3 linked regions of the Schizosaccharomyces pombe genome follow. The protein of the gene in region 2 interacts with the protein of the main gene of each other region in a biochemical or structural test. Each region holds a gene or a part of one and is shown on either strand. Other genes may lie near its edges.

Region 1 (8,015 bases), on a different chromosome or scaffold from region 2:
CATGTTTAGTCTTACCGATTTCTTTTATAGTGACTTTGAGTTAAGAGTTAGTTACGATTTTTATGGACATGATTATCCCATAAAAAGCTTAACAAGAACCTCTAATGGTCATGGAATTGTATCCCGAGATGTTAATCGTATCTGTATGTTTCAATCATACATATCGCAAGACGGGAAAAATCAGTTAATTTGCAGGTTCAGATTATTACTTGGAGAATCTGACTTTATATTACCTCTTTATGCTGGTGAATATGCAGCAGTACTCAACTTAAATTCTTTAAAATTATGGCATTGCAATGAAGCAATTCCTCCAACCCTTCTCTGTACATGTCGTCAAGTCCCTACTAGTCCGATAATAACCTTCTTTATTCTTCCTGTTCAAAACAACGATAATTCCGCCCTATGTGCTTTGACGGAAGGAGGCCATGCCTGGTTTTGGAGTGTCTCTAACGAAGCTCATGATGGTTCTGCTGTACTTCGGTTTATAGATCGGGTAAATTTTACAAAGAATTTAAATATCGCATCGGCTGTAGATGTCATGGGTTGGTCTTCTACTTTAAATTTGAGCAGTTTATCTTCATTTGATCAAGAGGTATTTCAATCAATATCAAAAGACGGTTTATTACAGACTTGGATGGCAAGAGTATTGGGAGACGATAAAGCGGAAATATCGGAAATTTCCAAAGTGCAAACTAGCATCAAATCTGCAACTATGATCAAAGGCTCAACATCCAAGAAAGTTGCTGTTGTATCTGAGAACAATCGTCGACTTTCAATTTTCGACACGCGTAGTTCAGAATTCTCTGAAAAGGAAGAATTTTCCTCTGTTTTTGATGATTATGGACCAATAAATGACTTGGATTGGACTTCTACTCCCAATTCCCATTCTATCTTGGCTGTTGGCTTTCTACATGATGTTATTCTTTTGTGCCAAAATCGCCGATCTTATATGAACGATATTCCATGTTGGTCTCGTATTCGTAGATACAATCTTTTAGAATATACAAATTCATTAATATCTGACTCTTCTTGGTTGGATAATGGGACTTTAGTTACTGCCATTGGTAACGGACTTTTTTATTTTGATAATTCACTTCCCGAAGATCAGTCTTTACTGTTCCCTGCATCATTGAAACGTTCCGCAAAAAATATTTTTGATCTTGCATACCAGCTTAATGGAATTTTACCAGTTTTTCATCCTCAATTGTTGCAGCAGCTTTTACTTAGAAACCAACCCTTTCTATTTACTAATATTTTGCTAAGGTTTTACTTGTGTTTGAAAGATGATGTAGATATGCATTTTCTCTTAAATATGGACTGCAGTGAGTTTTACTGCTGTGACGAAGAAATTTCTAAAGACCTTTTAATAAAAAGTCTCAGCCAAAATTCTGCGGAAATTCTAAATCCTGCGGAATTGGATTTTGAAGAGACCAGTGTCTCAAAGCATTTAGGATTATACATTGATGAAATGATAAAGAAGTTGACTGCATTATTAAAAGTAAAGAAAGTCAAAACCCTCACTCGATCATCTCAGTTTTTACTTCTTAATTTAATCGAGGCATTCAATAAGGCAAGAGCATTGCGAGATTCATTGGACCTCAACGGAAAAAGATATTGCATTATGCTAAACCAGTACGTTTTATCAAAACATCAACGTCAATTAACAAGCTTGCCCACCCGAGAGATGGCGTGGGCTTTTCATAGCTCTAACAAAGCTGTTCTGTTGGACCACACTAAAAAGCTTCATGGAAAACCATTGTTATGGAATGCTGTTGAAGAATATGCGATACCGTTTTGGCTAAATGAGCAGCTACTGAAAGATGTATTTTTAGAGCTGTCTCGCAATCATTACGCTGAGATTGACGATAGGAACCCAGAGAATGTTAGTTTATATCACATTGCTCTACACAAAATAAATGTATTTCGTGATCTTTGGCGTCTTGCTAGTTGGCATAAGGAATCAGCTCGAACGGTTAAGTTGCTTTCGAATGACTTTTCAAAAAAGAAGTGGAAAGTGGTTGCATCCAAGAATGCTTTTGCACTTTTAAGCAAGCACAGATATTTTTATGCTTCTGCATTTTTTCTTTTGGCAGATAGTTGCTATGATGCCGCAAAAGTATGTATCCGTAATTTAAAAAGCATTTCATTAGCCATCGCAATGACTCGAGTCTATGAAGGCGACGATGGTCCGACCTTAAAGAGGCTAATAAACGAGTATGTACTTCCTTTGGCTGTATCTCAAAACGATAGATGGCTCACCAATTGGAGTTTCACTATTTTAAAACAGGAAAAAAAGGCCTTGCAAAGTTTGGTATCTCCCATTCGCTCGCTGGTCAGCGATAATGACTTTATACAACTTTATACATCCGATAAAAACGACCAAGAAATTCACGAAAATAAAGATTCACAACGAAATAGTACTAACGAACCCGTACGAAATAAGTTTCCGTCTGATGATCCTGCCTTCATTTTGTTATATGAATGTTTAAGATCCAGCAACGTGCAAATTGATGAAAGTCTTGAATATCGATTTGTTTTGCATAATGCTAATGTGTATTGCCAATTAGGATGTGACCTAATAGCACTTGGGCTTTTGCGTAATTGGAAATTCCAAAAAAATCCTGCAACTGCTCATCTTGAAACTGAGGATTATATGGTAACTGACAAGCAGTCTGCAGTGGAAAAAACTCACGACTCCCCCAAACTTGGAAAAACTCTTATGGGACAAGATATCCGGCCAACACCGGACGATGTCCCCGAATTTAATGAATCTGCGTTCAGCTTCGAGTAATTAATTAATTATCGATACGAGTTTTTAAAAATACTACAAAAAATCAAATACGGTCAACCCTTAGTTTATCGTGTTTCAATAATGATATTAAAAATTAATTTACTATTAAATAGCATATAAGAATACAGATGAAGTTCCTCAGCGTTTCATTTACACAATTGCGCAGGACGTAAAGAGAGAATTAAAAATTTCTATACATTTCGAAAATAAAAACGTCCGCGGTATAACTCGAAAAAAGAAAACAAAAATATAAATAGATAGTGCAGCTCACGGAAACAAAAAATTAGACTTGCATATCGTTTGTTACATTCCACAACACTCAAGGTTAAATTTTGTTTCGAAAGGCAAAGTAAATGAGGGAAGGATTACAATGGGATAGACGACCAAAAGATTCCAAATCACACCATCAGATGGCAACCACAATTTGGTAAAGTTGCTTATGAGCGTTCACCGCGAAGACGACGAGCCAATTGCATATCCTTGGGTTGAATAGTTACACGCTTTCCGTGAATAGCACACAAGTTAGTGTCTTCAAATAGAGAGACAAGATAGGCCTCAACAGCTTCTTGGAGAGCACCAATGGCAGAAGACTGGAAACGCAAGTCAGTCTTGAAATCTTGGGCGATTTCACGGACCAAGCGTTGGAAAGGTAGCTTACGAATCAAAAGTTCAGTAGACTTTTGATAACGACGAATTTCACGAAGAGCGACTGTACCGGGACGATAACGATGAGGCTTCTTAACACCACCAGTAGCGGGAGCAGCCTTACGGGCAGCCTTAGAGGCAAGTTGCTTACGAGGAGCCTTACCACCAGTTGATTTACGTGCAGTTTGCTTAGTACGAGCCATTATTTTCTAGTGTTCTGATAATTGCCCTGTGTAGATAAAAACAAATTATAGGGAGATTACGCTGTATAAATATGTCCCTACATCCAACTTTGATCACAACCCTAACCCTTTAATTAAATTGACGTAAGTTAATAGGGACGGCGCATTAATATATATTGTGAAATGCCGCATACCCTACTAGCAATAGAAGCACTGTTTATAGTAGTAACTCTATTTCGTTAATATTAATAGTGCAATATGTCTGGCCGTGGTAAAGGTGGAAAAGGTTTAGGAAAGGGTGGTGCCAAGCGTCACCGTAAGATCCTTCGTGACAATATTCAAGGTATTACTAAGCCTGCCATTCGTCGTCTTGCTCGTCGTGGTGGTGTTAAGCGTATTTCCGCTTTAGTTTACGAAGAGACTCGTGCTGTCCTCAAGCTCTTCTTGGAAAATGTTATTCGTGATGCTGTCACCTATACTGAGCATGCCAAGCGTAAGACTGTTACATCTTTGGATGTTGTCTACTCTTTGAAGCGTCAAGGCCGTACCATTTATGGTTTCGGTGGTTAAATTCGATATCAATTGCCGACTCCGAATTTTTTGTTTCGAGTCTATCAATTTTATGTGTACACTATAACTATTCTATATATACATGCCAAACGAGAATGTTTTTCATCTGGGCGATATCAGAAGAAGCATTATCAATTTGCTAGTGCAATTCATAGACAAAAAGGCGTTTGGTCTTTGTGAGAAATTTTTCATATCGCGTTGTATCACGGCTGAATACTCCATCTGACAAGAAGATGAATTTTTCTTCGTGGATTTGTGATTAATACATTTATTGAATGAAATGATTAATATAATGTTCATTAAACCCGAATCGTATCGTGATATTTATAAGTAGTACAAATATAGTAAACGCGCAAGTTTTTCTTTAGGTAATTGTTTGTGCGACCTTAAGCAAATTAACCTAGTTGATGCGTTACACTGTTCTTCGTGTCATCTTTCTGGGTATGGGGAAAGTGTGTCTAGTGAATGGGGTTAAAGAAGGTTATCTAAGCGACTAGTTGATAGCAAACAGTTGCATAGCCAGGAAGATTGTGAATTGTACGGTACATCGTAGTTGTGAGGTAATACGCAACTTTCTAATTGAGAGATATCAAATTGAATCAGCTCGATCGCATACTTAGATACTTATTAAGTGTTGTAATTTCGTCAAATAAAACTTTTAACAATGTAAAAAAGTACGTACTTTCTTCCGCTCCTTGCTTAATACCACAATAAATGAATTTACCTAATCTGTATCTAACAACCACATAGTCAACGGGACTAACAAATTCCAGTAAAGTGTTAAGGATAAAAAGCTTTCAGCAATGAGAGCGTACGACTCTTTCTCTAATCTGACATGTTTTCTTTTGTGTTTATAAAGCATTCGTTTTGTATTGACAAATTTTTCAATTACCTTGGGTAGGTGAATTATTTTTGGGCATATGACATCAGAACGCGTTGAACAATTAAGTTCACTTTGACAAAAATACAGATTTTTTATCACTACACGTCGTTTACTTTATATTTTACTTCATCTTATTACAAGGTTACTCTGTAATTGTAACGTTTGACGAAGCCCATAATCCAATCCTCTTTTTCGTTGCAGAGGAAAATAAGGAAGAGTAAGTACGTAAAGCCTACGAAAAGAAAGAGAAATATAAAAAAGTATACGTTTGTCAGTGCAATATTGAATGGTAAGTTTATTAATTGTTCCACTCATCGACTAAATAATAAAGTAGAAAGACGAGACATTTATGTGTATGCTAGAACACACTGGAATCCATTTGTTCACGAGTTGTTCTCGTAATAACATAATGATTGGTATTGCCGTGTGTGAATGCCAGTGATTATTGATGTTTGAAAGACTACAACTGATAAAAAGATAGTTGCACTAGTGATAAAAGTCTGTTGAAATTGGTATGCTCTAAAAGTCATTTGTACTTGAGTAAGCAGTCATATGCGTGTTGGCTATCCATCTGTTTGACTTGTTTGAAAATAATACACATGGGTTATGCTTTTCACAAGAAAGTAGAATAATTGATTCCTACATCTGCATCATCCATATCGATCGGTAAAGTATACTTTATCCTACGAATTGGTTTCATAGTTAAATCACTCCTCTGCTTAGCAGCTCCGCATCCCCTTCGTGTACTAGCCAATCTCATCGACATCGACAAATTGACTTCACCTGAGTTAAGCATACTTAATTCAACTTAACGAAGTGCAACCCACCACGACTGACCTCTGTAATCTCGGAAAACGGATAAGACGGTTCAGTACGTTCGCTAGTAAGAAGCATGCATGCAAAGGTACAAGAGCAGGCTTCCCATGCAAACTGAGAAAATAATCCCTGAAGAATTGCTAGTAAGCCAAATTGCAGCGCCTCCAAACATCCTTCTATTAAGGACCAGAAAGAATGATGCTGATGACTAATTTTTGGGTTATGCAAGAAGCATCTGGCATTTTCTTTAACTTCTCCACGAATAAGGAGAAGGTCACACGACGGAAGCGTGGAATAATGATGAGTTTGATCGTCGGTAAACTCCCCCAGAGTAGCGAAGATCATCGGCATCGAAAGAAAGAAGGGAAGGAAAAAAAAAAGTAAAAACGACTTGATGAATTCCGTGATCATGTAGGGTAACGGAAGACGAGATTACCGAGTTTAAGTAAGCAATCGAGGTCTGCATTGCGATGCCGATATGGTGATCGGGAACATGAAGCACTTGATTGACTTGAACATGTAGGGAGGAAATTTTTTTAGCGTTTTTAGACTTTTCATTTAGCTGCTATCTTAGGAGTAGCGTGACACGGCGCAAACGAAAAACAAGACATTTGTTGTACCAAACATCCTCAATTCCATCGCATCTCTAAAGTACGAGTAACTAGAGTAAGATGCAAATCAACGTCGTGATATGACCTAAAAGTATCGTGGACTTGATTCATCCTTCAATCTCATCTTTCCCCGACTCCGCCTCTTCATTTTGACCTCATTCTATGATTGCTTTTGGAATGAAGCTTGCAGCGTATTCCTTCATTAGTGCGTTATGACTAACCGCGATATATAAGGTGATTTAAGTACTGGAAGCTCGCTTTCCATATGAGAGGACAGCGTAGAGCGCAAGTCGCAGATTGAAGGAATGTAATTGGGGTTCGCTTACACATTACGCGCTTTTATTTGAAAAGAACGAATCAGCAGCACTGCCAGCGCATTCTGACATTTCCATGCTACTTCATTGGCGGCCTCTGATTGGCTCAATCAATGTAAAACGACGTCAATTGCTAACCAATGTTGTTTGACAAGGGTGGTTTTTTCAATCAGACGCTTGACGTCATTCTTTATATATACATTGCCTCGCGCATCTTTGCTGGGTAGTATGGACACTACAAACAACACATATGCAAGATCAATTTCTAGTAATGGGAACGATAACTTTCCCACTCCAGATTGGCAATTTAATGGATCCCAATTGCAACAAAATCGTAAATCCAAAATGAATGGTCGCTCTGTGACTAATGTATTTCCGAATGCATTCTCGGATGCTGAATTCGAGCAAATCTCGATGCCCGAACTCAATTTAAAGCGTTTTAACCCTACTACGTTAGAAGAAAATAACTCAGATTTATCTGATATGTCCTCCTGGGACTATATGATGAACGTTCCCATTCGTGTCTACAACGATGCTGACACAATGGACCCCTTCTCCCTCGACACTATTCCCGATTCCTCGATGGACATGCCATTTGATCCCTTAGCATCTGACTATGGTAACGCTGCTAACTTTCCAAGTGTCCCTTCGTCCCTTGGCAGCAATCATCAATTTATCACCACACCTCCTGTCAACGGGTCGAACGAACCTACCTCGGCTCAAACGAATCACATTATTACTGCTAACAGTTCCCCCAGTGGAAATGCTGGGAGTAACGCATCTGCAAGCATGTCCGTCCCTCCTCCTCTTACTCCATCTGCTTCCACCATTAATGACCAGCCCTTCTCCAACTCTTTCGATTTACCTAGTCAGGTGATTGCTGATGGCACTGGCGCGATTTCCGACATCAACGGTAATCCATTTCCCATGAATTCTCCACCTTTGGATATGGAACCGTTGCCCTCGATATCCATGGATGCAAGTGACTCTGTCTCCGAACAACTTGTAAAGGACGCCTCTCTTCCTAGTGGTCCTTTTTCAACCGATTATTTGGAGAATGGAAGTGACTTAAAAAGGTCACTGGGTCACAATCAAAAGTCAGACAGAGTCTCAAAAGATGTCTCACCTCAACACCAAGCAAATCCCTCTACCCTTAACAATCCTCTCAAGACCCAAAATTTTGATTCCTCTAAGAACCTTTAT
Region 2 (8,349 bases):
TATATATATAACAAAAATCGTTTCCATACAATTTCATCCATAGTGCGGTTTCCTTGAAGCAAGTTCGATTTACTGGAAATGTGCTACGAAATTTGCTTACTGCTGCTTGCTCCGCAGGATCGTTTTGAGACATTCTCGATTGAAGGCCACGTACAAACCCTCCTCTCAAGTGGCTAAAATTGGTATTTCTAGTGGGAACGATTTTAATGGCATACTTCATTTCGTTTTTCAATAGCGCTGCCACGATCCGACTTCCAATTTCTTCGTCTTTCATACTCATTTCTAGCCCTAATTTCGGATCTACCTCCTTTTGCAATATAGTGTGAACGGTTTGAACATCTTTCTTCTGAATATACAATTCGATATCATACACATGAATACTTAGAAAAGAAACATATCGCGGTCCTGAACCTAACAAAAATAGTTCATCCTCATTATTAATTCTTTTTTGAACTAATCCTTCGTATGTTTGTTGAATTGTCTTGGTGACACTCTCACAGTATAGAGGGCGAGTTTGATACATGGCATTTATTGTTGCTACTGAGCTCCAAAAGACCAATCCTGGTCGTTTCGATAACCAATTCTTGCAAAATTGATAAGCAAAAAAACGAGTACCAAACATGTTGTTTAGTTTAAATACACACACACAGATATTAGCCGGTTGGTATTGGATCACATGTTTTTCCAAGAGATCCTAGATTTTAAGGAGGTGCGCAAAAACAACTAACAATGTTGAAACATACGGTTATTATATAGTGAAAAAATTAATTAATTAATTAATCGTCTAATTTCTAAAGAGTAGACTGTTATTTTCTAGTATAAGTCTTTGAGTTTAATTTTAAGTATTCCTATCCATTCGTAATAAGAAAAAATGTCAGTCTATATATCCCATTGTCCGCCGTATCCCAAAATAAATAAAACGACTATTTTAAACCAATAGCTCTCATAAAAGTCTCTTTGAACTCATCATAGTCAACAATGTCAAGGCCATTAACTGGCGTCAATTCATTTTTAAGCTCGTGAATCAATACGAACCTTCTATATTTATCATAATTTTTTTTCTGGTACAATTGTAGAGTGCTGGCTAAAGATACATCAGCGCTATCATCGATCACAATATCCCAATCCTGATACAAAGTCACGTTCTTCAGCGCTGGGTTGGTCAGGTAGCGCTGGAGTGTATTCAATAAGTTTTGAATTTCCAAGAGACTTTTGTCTGGATTGTTTGTTACAAAATAGCTCTTGACCATATCCACAATTGATGGGGGTAGAATTAAAATCCATGAATCTTTTTTAATCTCAAGAAATGGACTAATGAGTTCCAAAAGCCGTGGTGTTTTTATAAGTGCTGAGAGTGTAACAGATACCACCCCACCCTTAGGAAACATCGGTCTTAAGTACTGTGAATATGTCAACTTATCAAGGGGTTCATTGTTTTTCTTAAAGTCCGTACCCACGTGTGAATCATTAGGACTTTTGAGAGGGAGTGACAAACCAAATAAGAAAAATTTACAACTTTTCCTTTTCGCCAGTGTTAAAAATTGCAGTTGATCAAAATCATCCTCTAGTGAGACATTCAGGAAAACAAAAACATTCTGTGATAAAAACAAAGATTCCGGAATCTCGAGTCCTCGAAATGTCGGAATAGCAGCTTCTCTAAAAGTATCCTCCAATTCTTCTGCCTCCGGAGAAGGCTGTTTAGAGACAATTAAAATTTGTGTAGCTTGAAAAGCGCCTATTTTATGTAAATCGATGTGGCCTAATTGTAGTAAATAAGACAAGTAAGATTGGGATTTATGATATGGCTTTTTAGGCCTTAGATTTTTTGCCGACCATTCGACTAGGATTGATTCTAAAGGTTCAAAAATCACCATCCAAAAAGGGCTATTGCTTTGGCCTTGACAATCGTATAAATTCATTAAAGCATTATTATCCTCTGTAAATAATAATAATGTATAGTTACTACCCAGAACGATGCCAGCACCGTTGCCGCGGTTTAGTATATTTTTAAAGTGAGTCATATCAACATCGCTTCGAATACAAAGACTTCCGGAAAGAACTTTAGTCAAGCAAGTACCAAATACCTCGAGATATTGTGAAGTAACAAAACGTAAAACATCTACTTGCTTGCAACTGACTAAACTTCGTAACAACTGTTGATGTTCAGTTTCCGCCTTAAGCTTGGATATATCAAATGACAATTCTCCAGCATAGTAGAGAGATTTTCCGACTCGCAAAACGAATCTAAAATAATCAGACAATGTGCTTGCTGAAGAAAGATCTTCGGATTCGCTTATCGAATGGTGAAGAGAGTTATCCGAATTTAAAGTAATATTACCAGCCGGAACTACTTTGCTAGCTCCATCATTTTCAAAAGTTTGATCGCTTTTAGAAACACTGTTCCAGTCGTTATTAACAGTAGTCCAACTACTTCCGATAACACTTTTCTTAAGCTGCTTAGCATCTTCATTCGTCACGTTTACGTTGAAATCGAAATTTTCGTCCAGATCGACATTGCTAGCAAATTTTTCCGACTCAGAAAGGGTATCTGTTGTTGTTTGTGTAAAAGAAACGGACCTTGCATTTGCTTTCTTTGAAGGGGTTGTTTTTAAAATAGACTTTGAGACTTTACATTCTTCCATATCAGTTGATATCTTCCCTTTTACTAAAGTTACATGCCAACTTGGATGCCCTTTATCATACGCAAGTTTGGCTTGTTCGATAGAATCGAATTGAATGTAGGCCATATTACAAACTTTGTCTTTCTTTGGTGATTTGAGAAAAAAGACCTCAATATTTCCTTTGATAAAAGCAAAGTACGATAAAATATCTTGCTTCGTTAAAGAACCAGAATTATCACTAACTAATATCGTATGCGTTTCTAATTTCGGTGCTTCCTTTTTTATCTTCAAAGAGGAAGGAAGAGGAGTCGAATTGCTAAAAAATAATGAATTGGCAACATCATTATCGGAAGTTATTACTGGCGACAGACTTAAAGGGCTTGAATGCCTAAAGGTTGACAAGGGGGTGTTAGATTGTGGTGAATTCGCATTTTCAACAAAAGCGCCAGTATTTTCAAGATTGTTCGAATTTTGAATTCCGGGAACTGAGTTGTCAGAGTCACTGGGCATCAACATTGTGCTTTTAATTTCGCCATTTTTCAAAGGTATTGCATCGCTGGAGAGGCTTTTGGACAATAAAATACTGTCGGTAACTGTAGGCCACTCTGATAAGTAGAAAGGATTAACATCAGGGCTAGTTTCACCAAACGATGTGGATAGCGTGCTAGTTTTATCGGTCAAATTCCTCTCCTTCAATTCCCCTTGCATACTTTTTCTCTCAAACGCATCCTCATCCATTGTCTGATCGTCCTCTTCCTCTTCATCATTTGCGATGGTTACAATCCTTCGGGCAGGCTTCTTACGCATCTTTTTGAATTTTTCTTTGACTTTTTGAGATAATTGGGTAAGCTCGGATTTGCGCTTTTGTCTTTGTTGCCTCAATATCTCCTTTTCTCTCTTCATTTTCTTTGCCTCATTATCTTCCGCATCGAAAGGTTCAAGCAAGCCTTTAGCAATTAACTTTTTCCGTTTTTTCCATTTTTTAAGCACTTTTTCCGCACCGAATAAATTTTGTTCAGGTTCCCAAGTATTATCATACCAATCATAGCCAGCCCATTTTATATAATATTCGTTTATGCCATTTTTATTTACGCGGTCAGCAAGGATATCTTCCACCTCATAAACATCCGCGTCTGTCTCACCTTCATTCGAGTCAATATCAGGAAGTGGTTTAACAGATACCATTTCAAGGTAGCGGGTTTTTTGCTCACCTACGTGTCGCTAAGAGAGATTGAAGTATTACAACAAAAAAATATATAAAAGGATAAAGATATGAATTTAAAAAAAAAACGGAATTAAGCAAGATTGAATAGATTCCTTGACAAAACTATTAGCCAAAGTTCTTCCCTTTCAACTACTTTTATAGTTGCATGAAGGGCAGAGTATAACCTCTAAAATGGCTCAAATATTTCCCTTTTGCTTGTGATTTTTTTACCAATGGAACACAAGAATAACAACAGATAATTCCAGTAATGAAGCTTTTAGATGTTAGAATTTCGAAGTCTCGCTGCAATAAGCAAGATGGCTTATGCACTCGAATTTTGGAATCAAACAAAATCCGCGTGATTTTACCGTCGTGTCACCAACGCAAACCGTTAAATATACAAAAAAATAAGTTTTCGATTGGGTTTGGAGTTTTATTGCATTAATCAAGTGTGTGAGGTTGAGGTTGCAGATTTGAAGACACCTATGGAGACATATGTACTTTGAGAAAATACTCACTAACCACTAGTGTTACTAGTTGCATACATGAGGTACTAGTAGTCAAAAAACTTTGTTGGTAAATTGATAAATGTTTAAAATTTTCTCATTCCTCCTGAACTTCTAATTTTATTTTCTGGGTGGTTGTGTAAGTTAGAAAAACTTTAAACAAATAATGAATTTTGTTTTCAAAAAGCTACAATGAGTAGATTTTGAGCGCTGCAATTTATTAAACGATGCGTTTATACATAATACCTCTAAATGTGTTAACTCTATATAAACGAATTCAACACAACATATCATTCCAAAACTGGTAGTACAATAAGAAAAGTAAATAATTACTACGATAGAAAAAAATGATCGTGCCAAGACTCGAACTTGGGACCGTCTGCGAACTAGCATGTTAAGCAGAAATTATAACCATCTAAACCACACGACCTCTTTTGATAATTGCTTGCATTAATTTTATATAGAGGTTAACCAAGGGATCCATTTACTTATATTATTACGGAACTATGTTATTCGTTTTCCATGAAATGAACTTAATAAGAAAAACTGTTTATGTGCAGGATTTTTTTGTTTCTTGTTAACCCAAGATTTGCCAACGATAATTATTCGATGGATTACTCAAGTAACTTTCTGCATGAAGGATGCCTGCATGCCATGAGCAGCATCCAACATTGTATAACTTTTGCATAAAGAAAAAGATTTCAATTGAGCCGCCAATTTTATTCTTTCAAATTTTTAATTTCGATCATTGTGACCATTATAAAAGTGAGAAAAAGCTGCTGAAAAAACCGGAACTTAAAATATTCTTTCTTTGGCTAGATAACTTTGTAACTTGGAAATCAAAACATTGCTTTCAAAGAATTTCTACATCATTGTTTGATGCAGGACTAAAATGGGTATAGTACTGACTAATCGCACTGTAAAAACCCATACCAACCCGTCCATATCCAGTTTTGCGATTGGGTTCAATCGGTCATTCATATAATTGATAGTACTTGCATTCAATTGAGTACTTGCGCTTCTTTATATCAAAGGCATTTTAAAATGTTTACAAAATAGCGCTTTATAGTGAACAACAGCATAATGATTTTGATGATAGCAATCACTAAACGACACCAGCCTTCTCATGATTACGACATTCTTTGTAACGCAGTATAATTATTTAATGAATCATTGGAATGCGTTATATGCATTTTAACGGCCAGTGGCACTAGTGGACTTTTTTTTGTTACCATGATAAAGGATTATTACTTCCTTAGGTTTTCTGATATCCCTCTGCAACTTACCTACAACAAACTACGACTAAGTAAATTCTTCGACTATCGAAAGCAGGGTTCATTGTAATTTACAGGTATATACCTTGATATTATTTGACCTTAAATATTTGTTAACAAAAATTGTTCGTAGATTTACCGATAGAGAACTTAGCCATGTGTCAAGAGGACGAATACGATTATTTGTTCAAGACTGTGCTGATTGGGGATAGTGGTGTTGGAAAGTCAAACCTACTTATGCGTTTCACTAGGAATGAATTTAATATCGAAAGCAAGAGTACTATTGGTGTTGAATTTGCTACTAGAAATATTGTTCTTGACAACAAAAAAATTAAAGCACAGATCTGGGATACTGCCGGTCAGGAACGTTATCGGGCCATTACCTCAGCTTATTACCGTGGTGCTGTTGGTGCTCTGATTGTTTACGATATCACAAAACAATCTTCATTCGATAATGTGGGCCGCTGGTTAAAGGAGCTTCGTGAGCATGCAGACAGCAACATCGTTATCATGCTTGTTGGTAATAAAACGGATTTACTACATTTAAGAGCTGTATCTACTGAAGAAGCCCAGGCATTTGCTGGTAAGTAATTTTGTTGGTGAGATATGGAGTTGTTCGGACGGGAAGTAGTGAAACCGGCTTTAGCCGCTCTCACTTTATTCCGTTCATCGTTTTTAGCAATTTTGAACTGCTTGAAGCGTAGAAGATCTCTTTTTGTTTTGAAATATTATTCACCTTGTCGATTCCATTCTCTGTTTATTAAGCACATTTGTTTGCCTCTGATTCGTCATAATTTTTTGAACATAATTAACTAATGTTTTTACAGCTGAAAATAACTTATCTTTTATTGAAACCTCCGCCATGGATGCTAGCAATGTTGAAGAAGCTTTCCAAACAGTTTTGACTGGTATGTTTATTCGTACTTGCTTTGATTTCTTCAAGTTTTACTAATCTAGCGTAGAAATTTTCCGAATTGTCTCCAACAGATCACTCGAGGCTGGAGACGACGGTGTTCATCCTACAGCTGGTCAAACGCTTAATATCGCCCCTACCATGAATGATCTTAATAAGAAGAAGTCTTCTTCCCAATGTTGTTAGATGGTTATCACGGATTCGTACCATTATTTTACCTCGTTTCTCTTCATTTAAAAACTCCACCCCTTTATAACATTTAAGGTGCCTTATGATTATGAAATCTTTAGCAGGTTAGTCAACCATTTATTAGGGCTGTATCCTTTAATAAAGGGGTAGATATTTTGCCTAATGCTAATATTGTCTACTATGGATTTACCGTCCTTCTTTATACACGCTTCAGCATAATTTTATCCCCATTCCTATGCAGCATATAAGTGTAACACATTATTACCTCTGTTTATTATATGATATTTGTAGGGTTACTTTAATAGAGAATTTGTCCAGATATTTTCATTATTCATACAGCTCATGTTTAATTTCCATGATATATCCTTTATAAGAGAAAGTAACAGATGATAAGTATGAGATAAGAGCCAAAAAGTTAGAGACAGCTTAAACGGGGAAATCAAATTTTCCAGCCCAAGTTATAACTTCTTTCTTCAGTTTGGCGATTTCAGAGAATTTAGAACCATCACCCACATATGCTTTGAAGTCTCTAAACTTCGATTTTCCTTCCTTCAAAGCAGCTTCATTTATTTTCTTGGTCAAAGATACAACTTCATCAATTAGCTCTACCACTCTCTCAAAATCCTTCTCATCAAAACCGCGAGTAGTGCAAGCTGGAGTTCCCAGACGTAATCCACGTGGAATTAAAGCAGACTTATCTCCGGGCACAGTATTCTTGTTGGCAGAAATATTTACAAGCTCTAAAATACGTTCGACACGGGCACCATCTACACCTTTGTCGGTCAAATCAACAAGAACCAAGTGAGTATCCGTGCCACCTGAAACTAACTTATAGCCACGAGTAATAAATGCATTGGCCATTGCCTTGGCGTTACTTAGAACGTCCTTTTGGTATTGATAGAATTCAGGAGTTTTTGCTTGTCCAAGGGCGACAGCTAACGCAGTAATTGTATGATTATGGGGGCCGCCTTGATGTCCAGGAAAAACTGAGAAATTGATTTTATCCTCTAATTCATATAAAATTGGATTACCACGTTTATCGTGAGAACGAGTACCTTTTCGATAAAATATCATAGCTCCTCTCGGTCCACGTAAAGACTTATGAGTCGTCGTAGTAACAATATCGGCGTATTCAAACGGAGAAGGAATTACACCGGCAGCTACTAAACCGGATATGTGAGCCATATCACAAAGCAAATAGGCATTGCACATTTCCGTAATTTTACGCATACGCTTGTAATCAACGAGTCGTGCATAAGCACTAGCGCCTGCAACTATAACTTTAGGACGAAATTGTATCGCAGCCTTTTCCAAACTATCATAGTCAATAATACCAGTTTCCTTATTTACGTTATATGGCATGGTGGAAAAATAAGTCGAGACAGCTGAAATAGCTTTCTGGGGAGTAGAGAAACCATGAGATAAATGACCGCCATGGGGTAAATCTAAACCCATTAGGCGATCGTGTGGCTTCATTACTGCTTGATAAGCCTGTAAGTTGGCCGGAGACCCAGAATGGGGTTGTACATTTACTCCCCATTTTTCCCCATCCAAATGAAAAGCTTCTAAAGCTCTCGTTTGACATAGTCTTTCAGCTTGATCTATAAATTCATTACCACCATAATATCTTGCACCAGGATAG
Region 3 (6,032 bases), on a different chromosome or scaffold from region 2:
ATCCTACCGCTTTCGCAAATGGTGTTTGTTTTTCGAGGTTGCTCAAAAACATAAGCTGCTCAGGCAAAGGTTGGTTCTCTTGAATTGGAAACTTTTCGGAAGCGGAAAATACCAACTGTAAGACTTGAGAAAAATCGATCAATTTATTATGATAATGGGGAATGACTTTTACTAAAGCTTCAGCGCAAGAACTATTGGTTTGAAAAAATGACAAAGATTTTAACCAATTAATGTAGAGATCATTTTTATCAGTAGTTAAGGAAGCTAGCGGGTTATGTGAATCAGAAGCGTTAAGCTTTTTAGTTGGTAGCTCATTTTCTCTGGATTCACGTTGACGATCAGAGGCTTTTCTTTTACGCGACGAACCTTGCATATTAAAATCATTGGCATTCCCTAAATGAAAATGGGCTCCATGGTCTGATAAATGAGTGCGATCTTCAAAATTTTGGTTGTATACATACGAAGATTTCTCCAAATGCTTACTTCGAGGCCCTGTATCTCTATTATCGTAATGTTCTCGTTTGGACCTATATGAATCTGAACGACTATCTGGATGGTAAGAATCATATCGTCGATGATGATTCGATGATCTTGAAACCTGAGTGTTTTTCGGTTTGTCGTAATCCTCTTGTTGTGAAGGCCTATTGAAATTGTCAAGATTTATACTCTCCGCCCATTCGTTTTTGTAATGTTTTGTATCATCTGTAGAGCTCCAAGAACCATTAGTTTCGCCCCAACCATCATCCAGGTTTCCCCATGAAGCTTCAGGATCATCGGGGGCAAACCAAGAGGATTTTGCTTGATACTTCGGACGAAATTGTGGATCGCTATTCGAATCAAGCTCCATAAACATCGACGTATCGGTATGATCAAGAGACTTAGAAGATTCACGAAATCCAGTAGAATTATCATCCCAGCCAACAGACTTAGAGTCAGAACTGCGAATATCATTTTCACGAAGTGAAATGCTTTCATGCAGTCTAGAAGATGACTCTATTATTGAATCAGAAGTAGAGTTGTCCCACGATTCAATCTCCATGCTTCCTGAGCTTTTATCTAAAAACTTGTTTCTGCTTTTCCGATGTTTGCTTTTTTTCGTTTCTATAGGTTTTTCAAATTCAGTAACGGAGTTCTTTCTTAGTTGTTTCGACTTCACTGGCTTCTCCTTTCCATCCGTAACGAGTGGAAACTCAACATTAGATGATGTGTATTTTTTTGAAGCTCTTACCTCCTTTGTGACTCCAGAGGAAGTATGGGTTGCCTTTGCTTTAGCAGGACTGTTCTTAAGTTGCTGTGGGAAGTCAACAGCAGCCAGCAATTTCCTCTGCGATAGCATTTCAGAGCGGCAGTAAACTGCTTCTTCAGCTAGTTCCTGCCTTTTTTCTCTCCTATTTTTTAGATTAGAAAGCCAATGTTCAGTGAATAATTCGTGAACTCGCTCTAGCGAAACAGTTGCTGATCGCCGAGATGTTCCATGATTTTCGGGAAAGTCTGAAATACAAGCTAAAAACGGTAAACTTGGAAGATATTTTTTGATTCCTTTCTCCATTAAAATCGTAGCTCAAATAGGATCAAAAGCTCTCATTAAATTATAGTGGTTAGGAGTAAGTTAAGAAGTTTGATGAGTATGTGTAACATTAGATAGTAAGGATATTAATCGAGATACATACAGGTATCTTTTTTCTGAAATTTTGTATTTGCAAATAATTGAATCCTAAAAAACCCAATTTAAAGTACACCTACGTGAAATTGAAAAGAGTAGCCAGTTTCAATTACTTAAATGCTGAAACTTGAACATGAAACGTTACGGAACATAAGTATTTCTTATCCCTTGACCTCTTCATTAAAGGAAAATAAGCATTTTGATACTCTTAGTTAATAATCTTGTTCAAGCGTTGCAATAAACATTTCAAATCAGTCAAAAATAAGAGGAGAAATAAGTTCAACAGCTTTTGTTAATTAATACGTGAACCAAAAATTAACACGAAAGTTAATTTTGTGGCTTCTCAGCATTGCTTTGTGTTTACATTTTTTGTTTATTGTACAGAACTGGGTTAGTAAATAACCCAGTCACCATAGTAACGCCTTTAGTCTTACAATACACCAGCTGATTCTTGAATACCAATATTTATTTGCAGCATAAAATCATGTCGTTTATGTCGTTGATGGCTAATACAGCCCATCAACTATGGTATCCTACGTCTTTTCCTTCTATGAAAGAATTGGAAAAGGAAGAAGTTAGACTGGAGACTCAGGTATGTTTGTTTACGATTTTCAACGAGTTTCTGTGCATGAGAAAAGTCTAACTTGAACGAATCTTAGGAGCTTGCAATTAAACAGTTTGGATTTCGCACTATTCGGCCCATTGGATTAAATAGGTCTATGCAAGAGCAGCTTGATTTGGAAGAGCAAGAGCGCGAAGAGGCTAATCAAGACACTGAGTTGGATGAAGAAGAATTGGGAAGTGGGAGCTTTCCTGAAGAAGGCGAAATGGACGATATGGATGGTGATAATGAAGAAGTAGAAGATCACGATATTGAAGAAGTCGACTTGGATGCTGATATCACAAATGCTGACGCCTCTGAATTTTACGAAGATATAAGTGAATACGGATTTCAAAATTAAGGCTTTAAAAATAATAATATCGAATCAACCATGATTGCTAAAGCTATGCTGCTGCATTACCCGATTGAAAAATGTATGTACAATCGAATTTATTCCCATAATTGTTTACGAAAAAAGAACTTGAAGATAATAACTGGATACACAACCTATGCATGCTAAAAGGCTATCAACTCTTTATGATTCAAATGACCCATTTGATTCTACTGTTTTGAATTTATTTAACGATGTCTAAATTTACAATGCTAATTTTATTTAGCATTTTTAAGCAATGTTCTTAAACCACTAGCCTTTTACATCATTGACAGATCCCATTTGGAATCCTGACTTACTGTTAACCGTATAACTTAAATAATCATTTTCTTGGCTGTTCGTTTTTGGTGTTTGAATATTCATATTGGAGTGCAACAAACCGTTGTGTATTTCTTAGACATCGTTGAAACTAATTTAAAGCCTACCCGAAACTATGAATTTGTTTCTATCTCGGTTCACGGGGTTACGAAATACTTCATTTTTGGGTCATGCACGACCGTTTATGTTTCCACGTCGCTATGCTCATTCTTTAGTGGCACATAATATTGGTCATATCAAGCTAGATCCAAATGAAGGTCTTTTCTTCGTGGATAATCTCGTCAATACTCCAACCTATTTCTACATTCAGCGATACACTGCGTTGCTCTTTCAGAACAACTTGAAAAAGCAGCTAAGTGCTGCTTTTCCAAGCTCTGATACAATGCAGTTGGAAGATATCATATTCAGATGGCAAGATGGAGGAGCATTTTTAAAAGTACGTTACAAGGAATTCCCACAAGATACAGAAGCGGTTTCAGAACACGTCCGTGAATCATTTCGAAAGCGTCCAGTTCGAACAATTTTACACCCTTTCTCTACCCCGATTCCACACATGGTACATGGTATTCCTTGGCTTCAAGATTTATATATATTTCCATCTCGTACAGTAGATGTGAATTTCGAAGGTCCGCCCCTTTCCCAGGAAAGATTGTATAGTATTTTTAGGACATATGGAAAACTAAGATCCGTGACCATTAATTCACCTACTTCTGCTACTTTGAGTTTTTCATCGCTAAGGTCCGCTACGTCAGCTTTAAACTGTATGCATGGTTTTGTTTATGGGAAAACAGAATTCCACATGCGATACAGACATATGAACCGCTTTGTCGCCTTCAAAGACTGGTTATTCTCTCATCCTCGTTTTACTATTCCTTTGGTTGCGGCGGCTATTACAGTTTTAACGGCTTCTTTATTCGATCCGATAAGAAAGTTCTTTGTCGAGACAAACATTGTACATGGTCAGAAGTTGAGAAATATCAATGTTGTTGGGTGGGTCAAAAAGAAAACTCGCGATATAGTTTTGAGTCCCTTTCACGAAAATGGTACAAATATAAAGGCACCGATTTGGACAACACGTGAAAAGGATTGTGAACAGTTGAAAGAATGGTTGGATGAAGCATTACATTCTTTTATTGTTGTTCAAGGTCCTCGTGGTAGTGGTAAGCGTGATCTGGTAGATCGAGTTGTTAAAGAACGAAAAAATGTTTTGTTTTTCGACTGTGATCGCTTATTCTCCACTACTAATACGGAAATGTTCGTAAGTACTCTTGCTAGCCAAACGGGGTATTTCCCCCTCTTTAGCTTCCTAAACAACATATCGTCACTTATCGATATGGCTGCACAAGGTCTCATAGGACAAAAAACGGGAATTGTTTCTTCTAGTGAAGGACAAGTGCGGCAAATTCTTAACACAACACAAACGGTATTGCGTTCTCTAGCATTACGAGAGCATAAAGAAGCCGATACTAGTGTGTTGGATGAATCTGAGTTTTTAGAAGTTCATGCAGATCGCTTACCTGTTGTTATTCTCGACAATTTCCAGCTTCGTAAATTATCAAACCCGATGCAGAGAGTGGTTGCTGAATGGGCTGGTAATTTGGTAAAGGAAGGAATTGCTCATGTACTAATGCTAACACCCGATGTTGGAGGCACCAAGTCATTAGAGCAATATGTCAACGGTTGGGAAAATAGAACATTGTTATTAGGAGATGCTGACCCTGTACTTGCTCAGCGATATGTCATAGAGTCTTTACCCGAAGAGATGCAAACAGAAGAATTGAGGAAAGAATTGCGGGTCCAATTACCGAAGATTGGTGGCCGACTTCGTGATCTTGATTATGTAGCTCGTAGGTTGCGGGTTAATTCTTCCAGTGTTTCTGAAGCAATTGGCGGTATTGTAAGTCAAAATGCCTCTGATATTTTGCAAACATTTTTACGGCCTGCTTCTTTAACCAGTGAGGAGAAGCCAACGTTCACTCCAGAAGAGTCATGGACCTTAATTACTTATTTATCTCAACATGAATATATACCCTATCATATGTTGATGCTTGACCCACTGTTCAAAGGACACGACGATGCCGTTCGTGCCTTGGAAGAATCAGAATTGATTACTATTACCACAGTGAATGCAAGACCGGATAAAGTCTACGCTGGAAAACCTGTATATGTTACGGCTTTCCGGCAACTTGTAAATGATCCAGTATTAAGTGCTAATATGCAGTTGGTGAGATGTAACGCGTTAATTGGCATGGCTAACAATGCTATCAAGAATGATGAACAGGAGCTACAAATGCTAAAGGACCTTGGGAACCTTGAATCAGGTGTGAAGGATCGTGCTCATTACTTAACGACGCGTATCCAGAAAAATCAAGGTGTTATTACTGATAATGAGAAAAGTATAGAAAGGCTTACTGAGGCTTTGAAAAAAATCGACTAAGATGCGAAAGCATATCATTTAAGATTACGTATGTTTTTATGAATTCTTTAGCATGAAGCTATAATGTCAACAATAATATCACATTTAATGACTACGCATTAACGAGAGAGAAGGGAGTAAGGATTTGGTAGGTAGTCCAAAAATCGTCGTAATATGAAGTGAGCGTAATGAAGAATTAGCCTAGGTAGAAAAAAAAAGAAGAAGCGAAACCGGTTATAGTCATTAACCTTGACGGGTTTTATGTCTCGGATGTTTTTTGCATAGTACATACAACCTACCTTTGCGACGCACAAAATAGCAGGATGAACAACGCTTTTTTACTGATGCTTTCACTTTGAAACCTCTTGAAAAGTTCCAAGGTAGAAGGCTAGGAGAAAGTCTGAAAGCAGGGGTTAAGAACATAGATGCATTTTTTAACAACCCTTTTTGTGCATTAAAAGCAGAAGGGAAGACTCGTGACAAAACACCCACAGCAAAAAATTTACGACCTAATGAAGCCATTATAAGTTAAAAAAAAAGTGAAACTGGGACTTCAAGTCAAGATGTTTAAATTTTTTTGGATCCGAAGTAATTCTGAGCTAAATAAATGATGTACGATGGAAAAGTGTTCACAATTTGGACT

The links.
Region 1: the proteins of chp1 (region 2) and hht3 interact in a test that uses a peptide from one of them, tested with the Schizosaccharomyces pombe proteins (3 studies listed by BioGRID, with this or other methods).
Region 3: the proteins of chp1 (region 2) and tas3 are reported together in a solved structure, tested with the Schizosaccharomyces pombe proteins (one study listed by BioGRID).

What each region holds. Positions count from the first base shown.
Region 1 is NC_003423.3:3,525,891-3,533,905, forward strand, and holds hht3 (histone H3 h3.3), read right to left. Parts: upstream 3,676-8,015; 5' UTR 3,640-3,675; coding exon 3,229-3,639; 3' UTR 2,910-3,228; downstream 1-2,909. Other genes in the region: RAVE complex subunit Rav1, read left to right, coding at 1-2,791; hhf3 (histone H4 h4.3), read left to right, coding at 3,877-4,188; SPOM_SPBC1105.13C (uncharacterized protein), read right to left, coding at 5,870-6,298; DNA-binding transcription factor Rsv2, read left to right, coding at 7,041-8,015. UniProt on the Schizosaccharomyces pombe protein: Core component of nucleosome. Nucleosomes wrap and compact DNA into chromatin, limiting DNA accessibility to the cellular machineries which require DNA as a template.
Region 2 is NC_003424.3:2,210,054-2,218,402, forward strand, and holds chp1 (heterochromatin (HP1) family chromodomain protein Chp1), read right to left. Parts: upstream 4,293-8,349; 5' UTR 3,807-4,292; coding exon 924-3,806; 3' UTR 757-923; downstream 1-756. Other genes in the region: aim18 (chalcone related protein), read right to left, coding at 1-622; Rab11 family GTPase Ypt3, read left to right, coding at 5,762-6,188, 6,433-6,513, 6,568-6,704; serine hydroxymethyltransferase Shm2, read right to left, coding at 7,134-8,349. UniProt on the Schizosaccharomyces pombe protein: Component of the kinetochore which plays a role in stabilizing microtubules and so allowing accurate chromosome segregation. Has a role in the RNA interference (RNAi) pathway which is important for heterochromatin formation and accurate chromosome segregation.
Region 3 is NC_003423.3:1,514,580-1,520,611, forward strand, and holds the start of tas3 (RITS complex subunit 3), read right to left. Parts: upstream 1,601-6,032; 5' UTR 1,550-1,600; coding exon 1-1,549. Other genes in the region: anaphase-promoting complex platform subcomplex scaffold subunit Apc15, read left to right, coding at 2,148-2,255, 2,323-2,625; RNA-binding protein Yme2, read left to right, coding at 3,089-5,410; rtc6 (mitochondrial 54S ribosomal protein bL36m), read right to left, coding at 5,633-5,911. UniProt on the Schizosaccharomyces pombe protein: Has a role in the RNA interference (RNAi) pathway which is important for heterochromatin formation and accurate chromosome segregation.